Linked DNA regions of Xenopus tropicalis. The protein of the gene in region 1 interacts with the protein of each later gene in a pairwise test. Links are inferred from orthologs where the notes say so. Each region holds a gene or a part of one and is shown in the gene's direction. Other genes may lie near its edges.

The links.
Region 2: the proteins of arl15 (region 1) and unc119 interact in binary tests that used the Homo sapiens proteins (3 or more experiments, as listed by UniProt). The link is inferred for Xenopus tropicalis from reciprocal best matches to the Homo sapiens genes ARL15 and UNC119.
Region 3: the proteins of arl15 (region 1) and retinal rod rhodopsin-sensitive cGMP 3',5'-cyclic phosphodiesterase subunit delta interact in binary tests that used the Homo sapiens proteins (3 or more experiments, as listed by UniProt). The link is inferred for Xenopus tropicalis from reciprocal best matches to the Homo sapiens genes ARL15 and PDE6D.

Annotation. Positions count from the first base shown.
Region 1 is NC_030677.2:192,109,554-192,113,211, forward strand, and holds part of arl15 (ADP-ribosylation factor-like protein 15), read left to right. Parts: intron 1-2,122; coding exon 2,123-2,331; intron 2,332-3,658.
Region 2 is NC_030678.2:34,709,063-34,711,970, forward strand, and holds the end of unc119 (protein unc-119 homolog A), read left to right. Parts: intron 1-262; coding exon 263-375; 3' UTR 376-2,382; downstream 2,383-2,908. UniProt on the Homo sapiens protein: Involved in synaptic functions in photoreceptor cells, the signal transduction in immune cells as a Src family kinase activator, endosome recycling, the uptake of bacteria and endocytosis, protein trafficking in sensory neurons and as lipid-binding chaperone with specificity for a diverse subset of myristoylated proteins.
Region 3 is NC_030681.2:101,179,543-101,183,744, reverse strand, and holds the start of retinal rod rhodopsin-sensitive cGMP 3',5'-cyclic phosphodiesterase subunit delta, read left to right. Parts: upstream 1-1,356; 5' UTR 1,357-2,382; coding exon 2,383-2,429; intron 2,430-4,202. UniProt on the Homo sapiens protein: Promotes the release of prenylated target proteins from cellular membranes. Modulates the activity of prenylated or palmitoylated Ras family members by regulating their subcellular location.

The DNA of each region.
Region 1 (3,658 bases):
ATTTCATAGAAAGCCTATAAACCTGCTAGTATGTTTTTAAAGTGCCAGAGGAACCCAGAGTACCAAGAGGAGACCTACAAAGATATGAGATAACATACAAACTCCTCTATTAAATGTAGGTGCCCAGCACTACAAAGCAGCAATGCTAAAAGATGCACTACTGTGGCAATCTTCTGTACAGATGGACTAAGCTGGCCACCAACTCACTGGGGATTATTTGCCAACCCAGCAGCCACGTGGGTCCATAAGGACTGGTGCTGTGTTATGATAACTTACCAGTCTTCTAGTATGCAAGGTTAATGCTGAGTCCTGTCAATGGAAATGTGACAGGGCTTTAACTAAACACATTACAGACTTCAGATTTGTACTTTGGCATTAGCACCGGTGCCTTATAATCTAAATTTCTGTGCATAAAAAGAAAGTAGCAGGAGGATGATCTCTAGTTATACAGACCTCCCTAACTGGATACTGATATCCATGCAACCAAACCAGTCACCTAACTAAACAACAGTGCCCTTTCGGGTTTGTTATGAATCGTGCTTATCGCTGACCCTTACGGAGTGGAATGGCACTGGGACTGCAAACTGTCTCCACATGGTGTTTTCTTTTAAGCGCAGAGCTAACACGCATGGAGTAATTAGCTACAGGCAAGACGGAGTTGTAAATAGACACACATTACACTCTTCTTGGCTAATTGCTATGCAAGATTCAAAGACAACAACAAGATGATTTCCCTGAAAAATTTCCCTTTTAAGATCGTCTGATGTGTTCCCGTTAAATTGTTGCTCCGCGTGAGTCAACACCATGAAGAATGATCGGTTTTGTGTGAACGGCACATTACAGCGATATGTATATTGTTCCGTCTCGCAATAGTTTTATCTCTAGTGGGACCGGGAAGTGTACAGATGCATAAAGAACATATTCCTCCAGGATCCTTCTCCCCACATGTGAAGACAGAAATGTGGTATTTGCTGATGGTCCAGGAGGGAGCAATTGTACATGATGCAGGGACAGGCTGTTCGCTTGCAACTCTTGCTGAGGAAAATAACTTATTTATCAGCAGTTTCATGAAATTACCCTTCAAATCTATCATCTTAAACAAAACAAGCTTGCTTGGGTCTTCTACCATTTGTATGAAGATTTAAAGGGAAATCTAAGGTGACTGGTGCTCTATAAATCAGCAGGGCCAAGGATTGTAGCTATGCACGGAACAGCCATTTACACCTTTCGGGGCATTTGAATTCATCAAGCTACTAGTAGCAGCTACTTGTCGTGGCTACAGAAATAGACAATGCTGATCATTTACTGATAATTGTCTCTACGTGTTTAGCAAAGGCAATTCTCAGTATTGTCTATGGCAGGGTATTTTCTGGTGGTCAGTAGCCGTAACAAATAGCTGCTACTTAGTAGCTCCGTTTGTCTTCACCCCTTAGGAAACAGGAGGTTTGTGTGCCCTCTAGTGAGAGCCTTTATGATCAGGGAAGCCTTCCTGTAGCCGAGGGGCCAAATAGATGACTGCTGTAAATCAGTTAGCCCAGCTGCCAAGCTTTCTGTGCCTGCAGGCTTACTATGCATGAGAGGAGTTAAAATGTGAATATACTATTTGCACCATGGTATCTCTAAATGCAATAAAGTTAGGTAGTTAAATGCATATTAAGTATCAAACTATTCTGAATGCCAATGTCATTTATATTTATAATATCTTATCTTTGTACTTGGAAACACGTGGAAGATAACATCCTGTAAATTGCAAGGTTTGAATAGAGTTTTTACCTAAGGGTGAAGACACATGGAGCTACTAGTAGCAGCTACTTGTCGTAGCTACAGAAATAGACAATGCTGATCTTTTACTGATAATTGTCTTGCTACGTGAAAGCTGCAACTAAGTAGCTCTGTATGTCTTCACCCTAAGATTTGCAGTTTGGTAGCCAAATGAGTAGAAAGTGTTTTGTTTGCAGTAGTGACAGCATTGTAAATGTTCATTATTTACATGCTGGGGGGAACCATAGGCGGCAGCAGCAGCAGCTACAAGGCCACAGGTGACTGACCTACTATTTGCATTCTATGTACTTCTTAACTTCTATGTACTTTTTAACAAGTATCTTTGTTTATTTTCATAAAGGGGCCACCAACATCAGGAAGTACTGGAGTCGCTACTACCAGGGATCCCAGGGTGTGATATTCGTGCTAGACAGTGCCTCGTCCGAAGATGACCTCGAAACTGCCAGAAACGAGCTCCATTCAGCTCTGCAGCACCCACAGTTATGCACTTTACCCTTTTTAATACTGGCCAACCACCAGGACAAGCCAGCAGCTCGCTCAATACAGGAGGTACGTTTCCCCTGATTTCTACAGTTGCTCACTGTAGCACCGTTTCCTTCTGAATCCAACTCAGTCTAATTGAGGTCTTGGTAAGTGACACACCTCAAATAAGCACTTCCACCTTGTGAAAGGTAAGTAGCCAAAGCAAATGGGTTAATGAGCAGGTAAGAGGTATGGTACCATAACAAATGGGAGGTGTGCCGCTTACTGATTTTGTATCAATGGCACCAAAAATCACACTCAAATCTCCTGCAAAAAAACACAACATGGAAGGTTAAGGCCAGAGATGCAGTCAGTAATATTCCCTGCATCCTAATAGAGAACAGTCCACTTTCTATGTCGAGCTACCAAAAAAGCAGCAACTTTGATTTTATGATTCTTAGGGGATCTGGGTAAACCTACTGTTAATTTGGGGAAAAGTGAATATTGAATGAGCAGTTAGTAAGCTTCACATGAACCGTGGACTATGCTGGGAGTTAAAGTTAATGACCGCTCTAGGCCTGCATGCCTGATATCTCTAAAGTAGAACCTAATAAAAGTGCTTAAATTTCAGCTAGGAAGCTGGAGTGATATGTCCTCACATGTGGCACATGATGCTTATTGCAGACTCGCGGTGCCTTTACAGTTGCTGGTGCAGTTCATCGCTCATTTTACAACTCACCACTAGAGACAGGTTTCAGTTATTCAGGAGTAGTCAGGCATAAAATGACTACAAGCCTTCACTTCAAAGTGAAAAAGAAATAAGCATCTTTCCAGATGAAAGATTTTTTTAAAGGGAAAGTGTCACTGATATTTTTTAGGCCTAGTTCACTCGCACAGACACACACACAATGACATTTTAGGTTTAGATTTATGACTATTTAGGCCATTTGTTTATAGTGCCGGTGGCAAAGTGTTTTTGTGATAGTGGTCAATGGAATGTGGAGTCTAAGGTGCATGCCAATCAGCCTCCCCCAAAACTGAAAATTCTAGGAACTGTGAGAGGCGGTTTGAAAAGATACATTAGGAAGTGCAATAATAATACAAAGAAAGTTTATCATCCAGCCCCTTGGATTTGTCAGTTCCTTAGCAAACAGTTACAGGGTACAAACAGATGTTACAACTCCCCATAAAATTGGGGGACACATATAAAGTTACTTCTGTCTTAAGTGCCCTAAAAGTTATGTAGTTTGTCAGCCTTTCTTGGCACATATACAGAGCAGGCTATCAGACAACTGCAAATTCACTCTATATTTGTACCAGGAATGTCTTTTGTATTGAATGTAGTTCCTCTCTGGTCATGTCTCTCTTCCATCTATCCATCCAAAGATACAAGCCAGTAAAATGCTACATTGGT
Region 2 (2,908 bases), on another chromosome or scaffold:
TGGTTATTCTTTTAGGGTGAATAGGCAATAGAACTTGGCATGTAAGGCTGACATATCCACCATTTGTGTGCAAGCTTCTACCCTGAGACTGTAAGATAAAGAATTAGATGGCTTAAAGTACATTTTTGCCAAATAAATCTGTACTCATAATATTCTGTAACATTCTGGCAATGGAAGGTCCATTTTGTTTGAGATTGATGTTTAATAAATATTGCAAAATAAAAATCTTGTTTCCCCTTTTTTTTCTCATTCTATTTTGCAGTTCGCGAAATGATTCTGCACCCATATGAGACACAATCGGACAGTTTCTACTTTGTGGACAACAAACTTGTGATGCACAACAAGGCAGATTATTCATATAGCGGAGGTCCGTGATCCCCAAAAATAGCACGAGCGAGAAAGCATCAACAGCAGTCCCCTTTCCCCATAGCAGTTACGTAAGGGATAACACCCACTTTCCGTAGGCAAACAATCCAGGAAACAATATACTGTTTGCAAGTAGGAGATTTTTGGCTGTACCCCAGTCTTTGTAGCACATTCAGATAGTGCAAGAATCGTCAAACTGCAAAATCTGAGGCAGTGGACTTCATCAGCCCTTCCCAACATGAATGTGGGATAAGGATAAACCTAAATAAATACTTCTCTCTTGCTCCATATAAAGGGTTGTTCTCCTGGAACAAGGACTCTTGCATCTTATCTAAGTCTTCTTAGGACCAACCTTTCTCATATGACAGGCTTGTGAGTTCTTCATCAATATTCTTGCCTCTATCTAAGAGAAGAAAGGACAAAAAAATCATTCAGTAGTTTCTTTTTTTACTAAATGTCAGCTTGGGAAAAAAACATTGTTATCAAGGAAATCCAAGCCAAAGATTTAATCAGTTCTTCCTCTTTGGGCTTGCACTTGTTAGGATTCTTGTTATTCTCTAGGCATTAAGTATTGTTTGACATTTTCCCATTCATTTCTAATGAGATGGCTATTACACAAAAAACAAACACAAAATTGTGCATAGATCGTTAAGGATTAAGTGTTCCATCCATGATTGCAAATTACATTATTATTGAGTCCAGCCTAGTTACCTATGAGTCTGAAGCAATGAGGCCCATCCAAGGTAAAACCTGATCTGATATATTTGAAATAAGTTTTGTTTACGGTTACACTGTATTGTGCAGAAATAACAATATTAGCAATGTAATCCATCATGGAGACTAGAACGGAGTACAATCAGTAACAACCTGTGAGCAATTGTTTGTTTTTTTCCTTTATTTTTTTTTGTCTTTAATTTAAATATCACCAAGAAGCGCTGCATATTTATTTCAAATGGTCCGGTCCTCCTCCTGGGGAACAAGCTCACAGAGGCAAGTATTTTTTTTTTCTTTTTTTGATTGCAGTAAATGCACATTTAGAATTCCAGTCAGTTGAGCAATAATTCCATGTATAATACAATATCATGAAGATTGTGAATAGCTTCAATTTTGGAGGTCTTTTTCGTTTCTTCTTCCTCTTCTTGATGATGATGATAACTACACAATTTATTTTTAAAAAGAAAAAATGCTGTGGCACCTATATTGGGAAGAGGAGAAGATCTCCAGATGCATTGGAACAGCTATACAGATTTCCAGTAAATATGATCAAGTCCAGCCATTAGTATCTTCTCTGACATTTTTGTAATGAGCTTCCAAAATGCTGCAGCTGTGCTCTTGGTGTTGGGGCAGAATAAATGAATTGCTGTATATTTTATGAGACCATCAAATGTAAATAAGCATTTATATTTAAGGATTAACCTCACCAAAACCAATTAACATACATTGATAAAAAAAAAAACCCAATTCCAGTTCTCATTGTTTTTTTAACAATATGACTTTATCATCATGTATTTTCTTTCTTTAGAACAAATTTATTGTATTTTGCTGACCTGGAATTTCAGATTTCTTCCTTGAAACATGTTTGACGATGCTGCGAGATATTCCGCTAACGGACATTTAAATAACTAGTTTATAATGCAGGTAAATGGCTGTCCCTACAGTGCATACGTACGGCTGGGTAACGATGAGACCGAAGAAAGAATTCACTTTTGATATTTCATTATTTTAATAACTGTCACTTATCAAATGCATATTTTTCACTTTACCGAATCCACCATTTTCTGTATAAATAAGGAGGGAGTCTTTACAGCTGCAAGTTGTAGATATTTCTATGTATAATTATAAATAAAGAATGTCTGTCTGTTTGAGGATTAAGTAGAATGTAATATGTGCACTTCAGATAATTGTTACTGTAAGTATCATAGATTTTAACAAAGTACCGCCACCAGCTTGGTAGAGGGGTCATTTCAGTCTTGTTTGTGTTCTGACTTAATTATAGTAAACTTTTGTGAAATGAAACCAATATTGTGTGAGAAGTTCATTTATATTTTGAGGTAAATCTCCAAACCTTAAGTCTGCTAAAACTCATTTAAACATTTAATTAAACCCAGTAGGGCAAATTATATCTTAGTTGGGATCAAGTGCAAGGTACTGTTTTATTATTATTATTATTATAGAGATAAATTGAATCATTTTTACAAATATAGAAAAAATTAGAACTATTAAAATTGAGTTTATGGGAGATGGTCTTCCTGTAATTCGGAGCTTTCTGGATAATGAATGTATGTACTCTGCAAAGATAGCAATGTAGGGCTGGGGTATCTGGGGGCCGCCATCTCAAGGAGGACCCATGTCTCCCCTCCCATCACATACTGCCCCTGCCGCCCCACCTCAGCTGCTGCAAACTGATTTCTCCATTCCAGTCCCTTGCCGGTAACAGGACTGGATTTTCTCCCAATGCCCCGCAGCCCCAGTCCAACACTGAGAGAAAGAAAAAGTGCTGTCATCCTTTGCTACAGATAGATCTTTAATATTTTTTTTAGTA
Region 3 (4,202 bases), on another chromosome or scaffold:
GCGGCAATATCTGAAAACTGCTGTCCATAAACGCTGTCCATCTAATCTGACTGAGCTGGAGCTGTTTTGCAAAGAAGAATGGGCAAGGATTTCAGTCTCTAGATGTGCAAAGCTGGTAGAGACATACCCTAAAAGCCTGGCAGCTGTAATTGCAGCAAAAGGTGGTTCTACAAAGTATTGACTCAGGGGGCTGAATAATTACGCACACCCCACTTTGCAGTTATTTATTTGTAAAAAATGTTTGGAATCATGTATGATTTTCGTTCCACTTCTCACGTGTACACCACTTTGTATTGGTCTTTCACGTGGAATTCCAATAAAATCGATTCATGTTTGTGGCTGTAATGTGACAAAATGTGGAAAAGTTCAAGGGGGCCGAATACTTTTGCAAGCCACTGTAGGTATCCAGTTTTTGTGCAGTTAAGAGAATTTTTGTGTCGCCTCTCCCTACTAGCTCTCCTGGCAGTGTTTCAATGCCCACTTCCTCTCAGTTTATATTTGGTTTTTCAGTACGTAGTTCCTCCCATTATATAAAATGTATTTTGTGAGTCAGTACCCACTGCCTCTCATTATATAATATAATTTCGGTGCCCCTCAGGCCTGGACTGGTAATCTGTGTATTCTGGTAAATGCCTGATGTGCACTATAAATTATTACATTAACATTTATTTATAAAGCGCCAACATATTCCGCAGCGCTGTACAATATGTGGGTTACATACATTGGACATACAGAGTAACATATAAAGCAATCAGTAACCGATACAAGAGGTGAAGAGGGCCCTGCCCAAAAGAGCTTACAATCTACAAGTCACTATTTATTGGGGAGGGGGGGGGGGGCTATTTGGGCCTCTGTATAATAGAAATGCCATGTCCTATTTTGAATCACAGTCCGGGTCTGTAAACTATGGTTGAATAAGAGGGGGAGAAAATTTGCGCCAGTAAATTTAACCTAAAATAAAAAAAAATAGAATCCAGTATCTTCCCAACTATGTAGTTACTAACAGTCATCATGTAATGCATTAAGTTACCTACACGAGTTGTGAACATGTGAACTTGTGCTCTAAATTGCTTTGCTTCAGTAAGTAAACTTTGCAAGATCACCCAAACTCAATTATTCTCTATTACCACCTGGAACAAGTAGCCAGTGAATGTATTTTGACCCTTTTCGTGTCCCGTACAACTTTCCTCCGTTTCTATGCAACATGAGGTTCCTCAAATTAGTGACGCGCGAGCACTCAACCAGACTTGAAATCGATTTGTCCCGCCCTGCGTGCGACGTTCTCTCTCTCCTAATTGGTGCGTGGCGATATCACTCAGCAGGGATTCCGACTGTGATTGGCCGGTGCTAGCATTTTTTGTTGAACTGTACTAAACGTCATAGGGCAAATAGGAGGAACTGATGTAGCTTAGTAAATCTTCTTAGCCAGATCCTGTAGACGAGGAGCTAGTTGTTAAATCCATGCTGACATAACGAGTAGTTACTATACGATTCCGGAAAGCAGTGCAACATTGTAGAGTTCTTCCCAGTGCCGTGGCCCTGGGACCTCTGTGTTACGGAAAGCTGATCAGGGCGTCTGTCAGAGGCAGAATCCACGCTGCTCGCCTCCAGGTGCAAGTAAAACTGCAAATTCTGTTCAGGATTATTACTCTATGTGGTGGGTGTGATATAGGTGTGGAACTACTACTTAATGCATAGAAGCTGTTTATGCTGCTAGATTACCCCAGCACCGACCTACCTGCACTATGTCTGGCCTGTACAGCCTACCTGTGGTCTGACTGGCTGATATCGCTTGCCTGTACCCTTTCTGGCTCAAACCATCTACCATTGCAGTTATATTTTGTGTATTGTCCATATCATCAATTGCTGCAAGGGCCCCAACTCACCTGCCAGAATTGGCACTTGGACACATCTCAAGATATTGCATATTAAAACGTGTATGTACTGAGAGAGTGAAGCTACTGTTGGATCACCTATGATTGCTTGTGCTGGTTGCTGTTGCTAGCACTGGCTGAAATGGAATTACTCTGACAGTCCAAGTTAGGGTTAGGCCACACCTATTTTATTGTCATTCTACTGGCCAGCGAGAGACCGTCATGCATGTACTTTCTGAAATTTAAATTAAACAAGACTTATACCAGTACTGTTCCAAGACCATCGTATTTAATTTTAAACCAAACTAAACTTTTGTTGTGTCAGTATGAATCTTATGCAGGCTTAACAAACCTGGATCATCTACAGAGGCCAGAAGTCTATTGTAATCACTGTAAAACTCAACACTGGCTTTTATAGCTTTTGCATAACTAGGACCGGAAAACTTGAACTGTATATCTCAAGGGATAATCCTTCAACTGATAAAGGAAATCAAGGACAGCATTCAACATGTCTCAGGATGAGAGAGCCAAGCAAATCCTAAAGGGATTCAAACTGTATCCAACAATAAGGGTGTAAGTGGAAAAGAGCATGTTATGAGAAAGTGATATCACAATTATGGGTCCCTTGGTGTAGGTCAGGTGTTGTAAGTATAAGATATAAATTTAAGTCAAAAAAATGAGTGGCGTCTGGTGATTCAGGCTTTATTTTTTTTTATCTCAGTGTTGCATTGATGACCAGCCTCTGGCCCTCCAGCTGTTGAGCTTTCAGCATCTCTTGGAAGATTAAAAGTGATTAGTGATTAGCGCTTAGGGAGATCTAGTCCAGATGGCAGGCCACAGGTAGGACTTCCCTGCAATACGGCATTAATGCAAACTATCAGCATGGTGTGACCATATGTGATATACTTATCTATAGGTTTATATTTGGTGCTAGAACATTAAATGCATCAAATACACACACTATTGGGATTCAGAGACGCAATAAACACCTCAAAATTTGTATAATAAAATACTACAAAAAAGTGCAAGTCTGCATCAGACCTGCTTGTTTAACAGACAAACAACAACTGCTGGCATTATGAAATAAGCACTAGATCGGTTACATTGCAGCCATTTTGTATGGGTTAACTCTCTGTATGGATGATTTACTAAGATAACAACTACTACATATCACCAATTCAGTTGCTCATGACAACCTATCAGATATTTGATTTCATTTTCTCAATGAGTGGTTTTTTTTTTGTTTGAATTCATGCCATAGGCAGAGGTATATGATAAGTGGCTTCTATAAGGTTTTTTTGATCTGAAGGGGTGGTCATTATTACAGATTGCTAGGTCTATTTCTATAGAAGTAGACTTATTTTTGATGATGTGGTTAAGGTCTTGTATGTGTTGTGTCTTTAATGGGAAAGAAACCTTGTCATTGGGGTAGGGGAAGTGTTGATATGTAAATTCCCCTCTAAGTGAATTTAATCACTGGAGTCTTTTTTTATTTAATAGACATGAAGCTGCGGGCCAGTTTGGGTGCAGATGGAGAGGGGGGGGGGGTGCAGGTCGACAAGAAGTCGACCCCGACATCACTACTGGCTTGGGAAACTTTCTAAAAGTGGTTCAGCTGTGCCTTTCATAAACTTAGATTTGAGCATGTGTAATAGACTAAAATCTGAAAAAATAAGGACACAAAGGAGCATCGGTCTGAGGAGATAGTATAGTAATGTAATGCACTGGGTAGTGCTTTACATTTTGGCAGCCCCTAGTATATATAGGATTCTTAGTCTTTCCATGTGTCTATACACAGACCGATATAGGCAGCCCACTGGGCCCTGTATGGAAGCTAAACTTTTTAATTTGTCTGGTGCTGCCTTAAGCACTGGACCTTAGCTCCAGGGTCAAACTGGACTACCAGGATATCAGGAAAAATCTCAGTGGGCCCAGACCCTGCCACCCAAGCCCTGGCTGGCAAATGCCAGAGAGGCTGCTGTAAGATGCCATAGACAGTCACTAGTGGGTTGATGGGGGGCTGTTTGGTTTGGGCATCTCTGCCTGAAATGCCATGGCCTGTTTTGAATGCCAGTCTGCCCGCAAGCCCCAGCCATCACCTCTCCCTGCTTAGCTGTGCTACTTATTTTGCTGTTTAAGGAACAGTTTAGTAAAAAATGAAACTGTGTAAAATAGACTGTGCAAAATGTTATGTCCACTCAAGTCACTGATTGGTAACTGACTGTTAACAACTTAGGAGGAGGAAGTAGTGTTCTGGCTACTATGTTAGACATCTGCCTACATAATACTTTATAGATTACATTTTCGGCTAACTAACCATATTGAAAA